2 linked regions of the Saccharomyces cerevisiae S288C genome follow. The gene in region 1 interacts genetically with each later gene. Each region holds a gene or a part of one and is shown in the gene's direction. Other genes may lie near its edges.

What was found. Genes that interact genetically often act in the same process or in processes that back each other up.
Region 2: mutations in ZRG17 (region 1) and ASG1 together harm fitness more than expected from each alone (negative genetic interaction), as found in Saccharomyces cerevisiae (2 studies listed by BioGRID).

The regions. Positions count from the first base shown.
Region 1 is NC_001146.8:696,697-701,270, reverse strand, and holds ZRG17 (Zn(2+) transporter ZRG17), read left to right. Parts: upstream 1-1,839; coding exon 1,840-3,657; downstream 3,658-4,574. Other genes in the region: COQ2 (4-hydroxybenzoate octaprenyltransferase), read left to right, coding at 1-730; MRX15 (Mrx15p), read right to left, coding at 811-1,581; putative ATP-dependent RNA helicase DBP6, read right to left, coding at 3,787-4,574.
Region 2 is NC_001141.2:100,662-106,176, forward strand, and holds ASG1 (Asg1p), read left to right. Parts: upstream 1-2,120; coding exon 2,121-5,015; downstream 5,016-5,515. Other genes in the region: forkhead family transcription factor FKH1, read right to left, coding at 120-1,574; TAO3 (Tao3p), read right to left, coding at 5,446-5,515. UniProt on the Saccharomyces cerevisiae protein: Probable transcription factor involved in the stress response.

The DNA.
Region 1 (4,574 bases):
TGCATTGGTAATGAGAGGTGCTGGCTGCACCATCAACGATTTTTTGGATAGAAAGTTGGATCAAAGAGTTATCAGGTCCGTCGAGAGGCCTATCGCCTCTGGTAGAGTGAGCCCCCGTCGGGCGTTAGTATTCTTGGGGGCTCAAACTCTTGTTGGAATGGGCGTTCTATCTTTGCTTCCTGCGCAGTGTTGGTGGCTAGGCCTTGCATCGTTACCTATTGTGTTCACATACCCTTTGTTTAAGCGGTTTACGTACTATCCTCAAGCTGCATTAAGTGCATGTTTCAATTGGGGAGCGTTACTTGGGTTTCCTGCCATGGGTGTAATGAGCTGGCCTACAATGATACCTTTGTACCTGAGCAGTTACTTGTGGTGTATGACTTACGATACTATATACGCACACCAGGATAAAAAGTTTGACATCAAGGCTGGAATCAAGTCTACCGCTTTGGCTTGGGGTCCACGCACAAAGTCTATCATGAAGGCCATGTCCGCGTCTCAAATCGCACTGTTAGCTGTCGCCGGCTTGAACAGTGGGTTGTTATGGGGGCCTGGGTTCATTGGTGGACTAGGAGTCTTCGCTTATAGACTCTTCAGCATGATAAAGAAAGTGGATCTTGACAATCCTAAAAACTGCTGGAAGTATTTTAATGCAAATATCAACACCGGACTTTACTTTACGTACGCCTTGGCAGTCGACTACATCTTGAGACTGTTTGGATTCTTGTAGATATAGCGTGCATATACAAGTGTTTAATTGTTCTTTTATTCGATTATTATTTACATGCATTCTTACGTAGATGTCCGTACCTATTTGGGCTTCACGATATTCTTGATGGATGATCTAGAATTCCCCGAGTGAAATAGGGTCTTGGCAGACGTATGTGAAAGGATCTGAGTTAATATTGACCTGTTCAATAGCTTATTTTCTGCCACACTGTTGAAAAAGCAGTCCAAGATCCTGGCGTCATTCTTCACAACGCTACCAGATCTCGAGAAAATGTAAAATTTATTGAAAAATGAGGGTGCTTTTTCATCCACTGTGAAGAAAACAAAGGTGGCCTTATCCTCCATACCTTGAGAACCTACTCCTGTGAAGATCTTGGTGGCCTTATTTTTAGACAGTTCATTGATCTCCCTCGTGATAGAAACTGGTCTTCCTAACAAGTAAGTGCGTCGAGTCAATTGACACCGTGGCACCGTACTATTCTTGAGCGGTGGCAGATATTTCATTTCTGTGACTAGTCTTGACGTTACGTGTTTCGTGGCAGCAGCGAGGATCACAGGCAAAACCCCTAAAGCCACAGGCCCAAAAGTTTTGCACTTGAACCACGGGCTGTGTTTTTCTTCCTCAGTAGCGTTTCCGTACACTTCTCGAGCAGTTCTCCACGACATATCAGTGTATGCAGCGCCATATGTGAGAAACACTACAGCTAGAGCAGTTGAAGCCCATCGTATCGACCGTGGTACCTTATACTGGAACACAGGCTTTTTTCCTCCGTTACGTCCGACTTCTTCGATTAGCTGCGCTAGTGTGAAGCTGCTTCCTTTGAACTGATTCTTGGCAGCCATGTTTGTCATACCCTAGTCCACATAAGATAACTAAATGCACCTTCTTATGTTATAATGTAGCTAAAATGAGAGATGATGATCTTTATTGTTCTCGAATTTCAGCGCGGGTAACGCAACCTCAAAAAGTTTTCCACAAGTGTCCTATTGCGTAATATCAAGAATATTCATTACTGAAAATGATGAACCTTGAAGGTATTTTTGTTACTAAGAGAGAAAAAGTGAATATTTAGTGACTTGTGAGCGAGATTATAGAATAGGGAAAGAGCTATGGAGACGCCGCAAATGAACGCTATACAAGAGGAGGACAATTTGTCTCCGGAAGTTGCTTTCCAGACTCCTAAATTGAATGATTCCGATGCTTCATCGTTTTCTTTGTCCAATATGAACGCTGTCGGGAATGTAGACGGTATACCATCCCAAAACAGGACATTTTTTGCATCACCTAGGCCCAGTTCCCTATTTTATTCTGCCAAGGAAGGTAACAATTCCAGTTCTAGTATCATCTACAATCCTTCGTTCACTTTTGGTGAAAACGCTTCTAGTAATGCTAATATCAATGAAGCTGCTTTGATGAAGGGAAAAGGCAACGAAGGACGAAGGCAATCACTCAAATATATACCAGCACCAAAGCTGGTGCCGCCTCCTCCCAGAACAAGATCACCGGTAAGAGGCATTTCCCCCGATGCTGGCAGCAGTAAGAGGTCTTCTATGACCTTGGATTCTCCCTTTAATTTTACGACATCAACGCTGCAACCGCATCAACAGACACCACCCTCTTCAGCTGCATCAAGGACCTCATTTCGTAAGGGGCATCGTTATAAGCATTCCTCTGTATCCATGAATTTTTTTCAAGAGCCTGAGGTGAAAATTCCTTTGAACATTGCCAAATCTCTTCCCATTCCAGATTTCAATGATTTGCTGTCAAATTTGCCATGGCCAAAGGCTTATATTCAGTTATCTATTGCCGCTCTACAAATCTTTGCATGTCTGATTACTTTCCAAGTCGGACACCTGTACTCATGGAGTAATTTTATTACACTATCGCATTTTATTACTTACGATATCATCGGTTCGCTGGTAATCATATTTGTGGAAAATTTGTCTCAGTTCCAGGTATGGTTTACAGGCACTATCACATTTCCATTCGGGTTAAATAGAATAGACGTTCTACTAAGTTTTGCGCTTGCCGTTTCGTTATGCTTTGTTGGGCTGGACCTTTTATTCCATATAATTGAAGAATTCATAGTCCTCTTTGTAGAATCTGGTAGTTCTTTGACGAATAACCATGATCACGATGAAATTAATGAGCAAATTCCTCATTCCCACATTGCCAATGCCAATGATTCACAAAACGAGAATATTACCTTATGGTATAGCATACTAATGATCAATTTAGTGTTATCGACGTTATCACTTTATAAGACGTTTTATGCTAACAAATACAGTAATTTAAAGACGAAGAACCCGATTATTACCATCACTTATACAGCATACCTATTCATTTATCCCCTACTATTGGATCTGTTATCGAGTATATCCGATTACCTTGCTACTTTGGTTATTTCGAGTTTAATTCTATGGCATGGGCTGACTATAGCACGGTGGACCTCGACAGTGTTACTAATGGGATTTTCCACCACATCTTTATCCAATTCAGCGTTATTCAATAATAATGACAGCACTGATACGACCGCCCATACTCAACAAGTCGAGTCTAAAGCTGCTAAAGAAAAACCATCTGTACGACCAAGATCAATGAGCTCACTACCTATAGCAACAAAGAATACAAAGATACGGAAAACTGGGTTTTTGAATTCTGCAGGTTTCACTGAAAATCCAACAACCATTAAGAACATGATCAAGGACCAAATCGAGAGATTAAGTGAGTTTAAATCCAGATACATCCTAAATTACGATGATATAGTAATAAGCAAAGTGAATTTTACGCTTTATGTGGTACTGATCAAGATAACAATGAAAGGAGGCTCCGACGATGACGAATTGATGTTAAGGTTAGCCATTGACAAGTGCATTCAAACGAGCATTCCAACGTGTGAAACTACAATAGACATAGACCGAATATAATTTTACAGTTACATACCCATCAATACATACATATTAATATTACTATACTCAGGAGTTATTAGAATGAGACTAAAAAAAAAAATGTTTGAATGTTATAAATGAATGGATGCGAAGGTGGAAAGTGAGAAATTAAGCTTGTGCGGTGTTATTGTGATAGTTTTTCAAACTTTCTAGAGACGAAGTATATAGTTCAGAATCAGATTCCAATAGGGTAAAATCGAGTTCTAATGGCTGGACAGATTTACCGTCTCTATCTAGATCTTTGTTTAAGTCATCGAAAAACGTTCTTTCACCTCTACCTACTAGTAAGTTATAAGCGGAACCAAGTTCGTTAGCTCTTGCTGTTCTACCAACACGATGGACATATTGTTGAGAAGACATTGGTGGGTCATAGTTTATTACTTGAGTGATATCGTTAATATCAATACCACGGGACATGATATCGGTAGTAATTAAGATGGTAATGCCTGCGCTTTCCGAGTGATGCGAGAAGTTCGCAACAATTTTTTTATTTTCTGCTTTGGAGTTGTTTGAATTGACAGAATTAATACTCACCGCCAAATTTTGAAGGTTTTTCAATACGCTGGATTGTGAGCGAGATTCACAGATAAGTTGTAGTAACTTGCTTAATCTGATAGACGATTCATTTGATTTAACGAAAATCAAAATCTTTGCAGCAATGGGGGAATGTGCCATAAATTGGCATATTGAATACAACAATATCAATGGCTTGTAAACACTTTTCGCCGTGGGAATGTTGATGTTAAATTCATTCAATTTGTTAGGTAGCTGGTACAATTTATCGGTTTGCTTCAGGAACAACTTTGGTTTGTAAAGGTTCAAGCCGTTTAACTTTTCTGTGTTGGTAGTCAATGTCGCACTGAAGATCATTTTGATCACGTTCCCTGGAAGTGTAT
Region 2 (5,515 bases), on another chromosome or scaffold:
AGATATAAATCGAGAATTCTTGTTTATTTAATCGTTAATCTAAAAGGTGTAAGATATTTCTTAACGGGTCTTTGTTCTTTATTGTTTAATAATACATATGGGTTCGACGACGCTGAATTTCAACTCAGAGAGGAATTGTTCACGTTTGCGTTTGTTGTTACGTCCATGGATGTCGTAGTAGAAATTTGGCCAGTGAGTTGAGTTCTTTGTAATTGCGGGGCGCTTTCACCTAAAATCGAGCTCGTAGCTTGTAAAGACTTTTTCACCTTCTGTGCTTTTATCCCCCTCGGGTCAATTGATGAAGATTCAGGAGCAGGTATTTCTCCAAATTTGGACATGTGCAATTGCAGCTGTCTTGTCACAGAGGCGCCTCGTCTAATCTTACTCAATTTACCAGCATTCCACTTGTTCAAAAAATCACGCCTGACTTCATCGCTAATTTTCCAATTCATCCCTTTACCTTGTTGACCAGCTCTTTTGGGCACCTTCTCGAAGGCTTTATTTAGGGACAGATTATGCCTCACGGAGTTCTGCCACGCCATTTGAGAAAACCTGTAAAATGCGTAGTTGTCAGAGATAAATTTGTAAATATCCGCTAATGAAATACTACCTTCGGGTGTTGAAAGAATGGCTTGGGTGATCATCGATGCATACGACTGTGGTGGTTTGATATATCTGTTTTCATCCAGCGACAAGTCTGATGGATTTTCTATATGGGGTACATTACCGTTAGTGACAGCATTGTTGCTACTGGACGTGTATGTATTCGGTCTAATTCCTCCTCTGGTGTAATTTTCATCTTCTTCATCTTCTTCCATCATAATCGTGTCTCCATGTGGATCCCCTATTGGGTTAACATCTGATGATGACGATAATGGGGTGTGTAGGTGGTCCAGCTGTTGTAATCGAGCCTCTTCCTGTAACCTTTGCTCTCTTAAATAGGTAGAACCTTCGATAATGTTACGTAGCAACGGGTTGTTGTTACCATTCGTACCATAAGTAGATAGTAATTTGGGCATGAGGTGATTCAGGCAATAATCCGATATAATAGTTTCTTGTTCCGGCAATATAAAGATCATTTGCACACCACCTATGTCTATGATACAACCAGACTGTAGCACCGTAGGAGGAGAGTCTGGACCTGTGGGAATCCTTCTAAAATTGACCTTAGCACCATTTCTACCGAATATCTGTAATTCCCATGATCCGCTCTCCAGGTTGAATCTGATTGCAGCATGCTTCCTAGACACAATTTTGGCAGGACCAAGATCAATGTCTATATTCTTCTTCACGACTGTACCGGGCACAGCATTCAAGTTCAAGCTGTCTGTGTTCCTACCAATGGTAACTTCTAATTTTTGTACATAATACGTCCAATCACATCCGGCAATTTTAGCATAAGCGTTGACCTCTCTGGCAATACTCAAGCTATTGGAATAGTCACTTGACACAGCCACAGGATCGCTTGACGAGCTAAGAACACATGTCACCGCATTAACAAGCCCTTGGCGATCCTGGGCTGTATACGAACTATACTTACCACTAAATTTTTGTTCCCTACTGGTAACAGACATTTATTATTACTGTGTCTCTCCAAGCCTTTCTTTGCTAATTGAACGCACAATTTACACACTATTATTTAAACCTTCAATCTTCTATAGAGCCGGTATTCATCTAAACCTCTTACCATCCTGTTCTCTCTATACCGTTTCTGATTTGTTTATGTTTTTCCATTTTTTTGTTTACCTCATCCATGGATCATAACCTATTTCGTAACTTTTTTAGACCTATCATATATGCTATATTTCCGTTCAAGCCCTTAAAAAACATTTTATAAGACCTACGCTCTTCAAGCCCTAGTGATTTCTTTTTTTCTTTTTTTTTTTTTTGGTAATTTTTTTTTCAAAAGTGACTACAGTAATGAGGTTTGTCTACCTGGACATGACCTTCTATTGTTGAGTAGTTCCTTGCATTGAAGACAACCAGTAATCGAATTTTTTATAAAGCGGTTAGAAAATCTCGAAGAGGTTAACATATAGAAAAAAAGCCTCTTTTTATTTGAGTTCCATAAGGTAAGAGACAAAGAAAAAGGAGCGCATATTATAATTGATAAGGGCGTTATGCCAGAACAAGCGCAACAAGGGGAACAGTCTGTCAAGAGAAGAAGGGTCACTAGAGCCTGTGATGAATGCAGAAAGAAAAAAGTTAAATGTGATGGTCAGCAACCATGTATCCATTGTACTGTGTACTCTTATGAATGTACTTATAAGAAGCCTACGAAGAGAACACAGAACTCCGGAAACTCCGGAGTTCTAACACTGGGCAATGTTACTACTGGTCCATCATCAAGTACTGTGGTGGCAGCCGCCGCTTCCAATCCAAATAAACTCCTCTCAAACATTAAAACAGAAAGGGCTATTTTACCGGGTGCTTCTACAATACCTGCAAGTAACAATCCATCTAAACCAAGAAAGTATAAGACTAAGAGCACAAGGTTACAATCGAAGATTGACAGGTACAAGCAAATATTTGATGAGGTCTTCCCGCAGTTACCTGATATAGACAATCTGGATATTCCTGTGTTCTTGCAGATCTTTCACAATTTTAAGAGGGACTCGCAGTCGTTTTTAGATGACACTGTGAAAGAATATACTTTAATCGTAAATGACAGTTCTTCTCCGATCCAACCAGTACTTTCTTCAAATTCAAAAAACTCCACTCCAGACGAATTTTTACCTAACATGAAAAGTGACTCGAATAGCGCCTCCAGCAACAGGGAACAAGACAGTGTAGATACCTACTCCAATATCCCCGTTGGTAGAGAAATAAAAATAATTCTACCACCAAAAGCGATCGCTTTACAATTCGTGAAAAGTACTTGGGAACATTGCTGTGTTCTTCTCCGATTTTATCACAGACCATCGTTCATTAGACAATTGGATGAGTTGTATGAGACAGACCCAAACAATTATACGTCTAAGCAAATGCAATTTTTACCATTGTGCTACGCTGCAATCGCTGTGGGAGCATTATTCTCGAAATCCATTGTCTCAAATGACTCGTCAAGGGAAAAGTTTCTACAGGATGAAGGTTACAAGTACTTCATTGCAGCAAGGAAACTAATCGACATTACAAATGCCCGTGACTTGAATTCCATACAAGCAATTTTAATGCTGATTATATTCTTACAATGTTCCGCACGTTTATCAACGTGTTACACTTATATCGGTGTCGCCATGAGAAGTGCTTTGAGAGCAGGCTTTCATAGGAAATTGAGCCCCAATTCTGGTTTTAGTCCAATAGAAATTGAGATGAGGAAACGCCTTTTTTATACAATCTATAAACTGGACGTTTATATCAATGCAATGCTGGGCCTACCGAGATCTATTTCCCCCGACGATTTTGACCAAACTCTCCCCCTGGATTTATCAGATGAGAATATCACTGAGGTGGCGTACCTACCTGAGAACCAACACTCCGTTTTATCAAGTACGGGGATTTCGAATGAACATACAAAACTATTTTTGATTTTAAATGAGATCATTTCTGAACTATATCCGATAAAAAAAACTAGTAATATAATTTCTCATGAGACAGTTACTAGCTTGGAATTAAAGTTGAGAAATTGGTTGGATTCGTTGCCCAAAGAACTGATACCTAACGCAGAAAATATTGATCCTGAATATGAAAGGGCAAATCGTTTATTACATTTGTCTTTTTTGCACGTTCAGATAATATTATACAGGCCTTTTATTCATTATTTATCACGCAACATGAATGCTGAAAATGTAGATCCCTTATGTTACCGGAGAGCCCGGAACTCTATTGCCGTGGCTCGAACGGTTATTAAGTTAGCAAAAGAGATGGTTAGTAATAATTTATTAACTGGTTCATACTGGTATGCCTGTTATACAATTTTTTACTCCGTTGCAGGTCTCTTATTTTACATCCATGAGGCGCAATTGCCTGATAAGGATAGTGCTAGAGAATATTATGATATTTTGAAAGACGCAGAAACTGGTAGAAGCGTTCTTATTCAACTCAAGGATTCTAGTATGGCCGCTAGCAGGACTTATAATTTATTGAACCAAATTTTTGAAAAACTAAACTCAAAAACTATCCAGCTTACTGCGTTACATTCATCACCATCCAACGAAAGTGCCTTTTTAGTGACTAATAATTCCTCCGCTTTGAAACCTCATTTAGGAGATTCATTGCAACCACCCGTATTCTTTTCTTCCCAGGATACGAAGAATAGCTTTTCATTAGCTAAGAGTGAAGAAAGCACCAATGATTACGCTATGGCTAATTACCTAAATAATACACCTATTTCCGAAAATCCTTTAAATGAAGCACAACAGCAAGATCAAGTATCCCAAGGAACGACTAACATGTCTAATGAAAGAGATCCGAACAATTTCTTATCTATTGATATCAGACTTGATAATAATGGCCAATCAAATATTCTTGATGCCACAGATGACGTCTTTATCAGGAATGACGGCGACATCCCTACTAACAGTGCATTCGATTTTAGCAGCAGTAAGAGCAATGCATCAAATAACTCCAACCCAGATACCATTAACAACAACTACAATAATGTTAGTGGCAAAAACAATAATAACAATAATATTACTAACAATAGTAATAATAATCACAACAACAACAACAACGACAACAACAACAACAATAATAATAATAATAATAATAATAATAACAATAACAATAGTGGTAATAGTAGTAATAATAATAACAATAATAACAATAATAAAAATAATAATGACTTCGGCATTAAGATTGATAACAATTCACCGTCTTATGAAGGGTTTCCCCAGTTACAAATACCGCTTTCACAAGACAATTTGAACATAGAAGATAAAGAGGAGATGTCACCTAATATTGAAATTAAAAACGAACAAAATATGACTGACTCAAACGATATTCTTGGAGTATTCGATCAGTTAGATGCTCAGCTATTTGGGAAATACCTACCTTTAAATTACCCCTCTGAATGAAAACGTTATCTTTGATTTATATTCTATAATATCGTGGCTACAGCACTTGCTGAACATAAGCTTAAAACGTTTATGTGTGTATTTATATATGATAATAATAATAATAATAATAATAATAATAATAATAATAATAATAATAATAATAATAATGGTGATAAACTGCAATAACAAAAGAAAATAGTACCAATCCTGGATCTAGTTTTCCCTAAAATCCAATTTTTACTTATCAGCCTCACTTCCTAAACTACCTCACCTTCAAAAGCTCGATAATTAAAAGAAAACATGAATAATATAGTAAACAATGATAATAGTTTCTCTATAAGATTATCTAATTTTCGAACAGTATTAGCTATATGCGAAATATCTTCATCATTGGTACCTTATCATAAACCAAGGCCTGCTTTATATTTATTTGAACGAAAAAATTAACTTATATTCTTGGCTTTCCATTCCTGTTTATTTTCACAGCAAATGAATCAGCCAAATGAGTTTTAAATGAA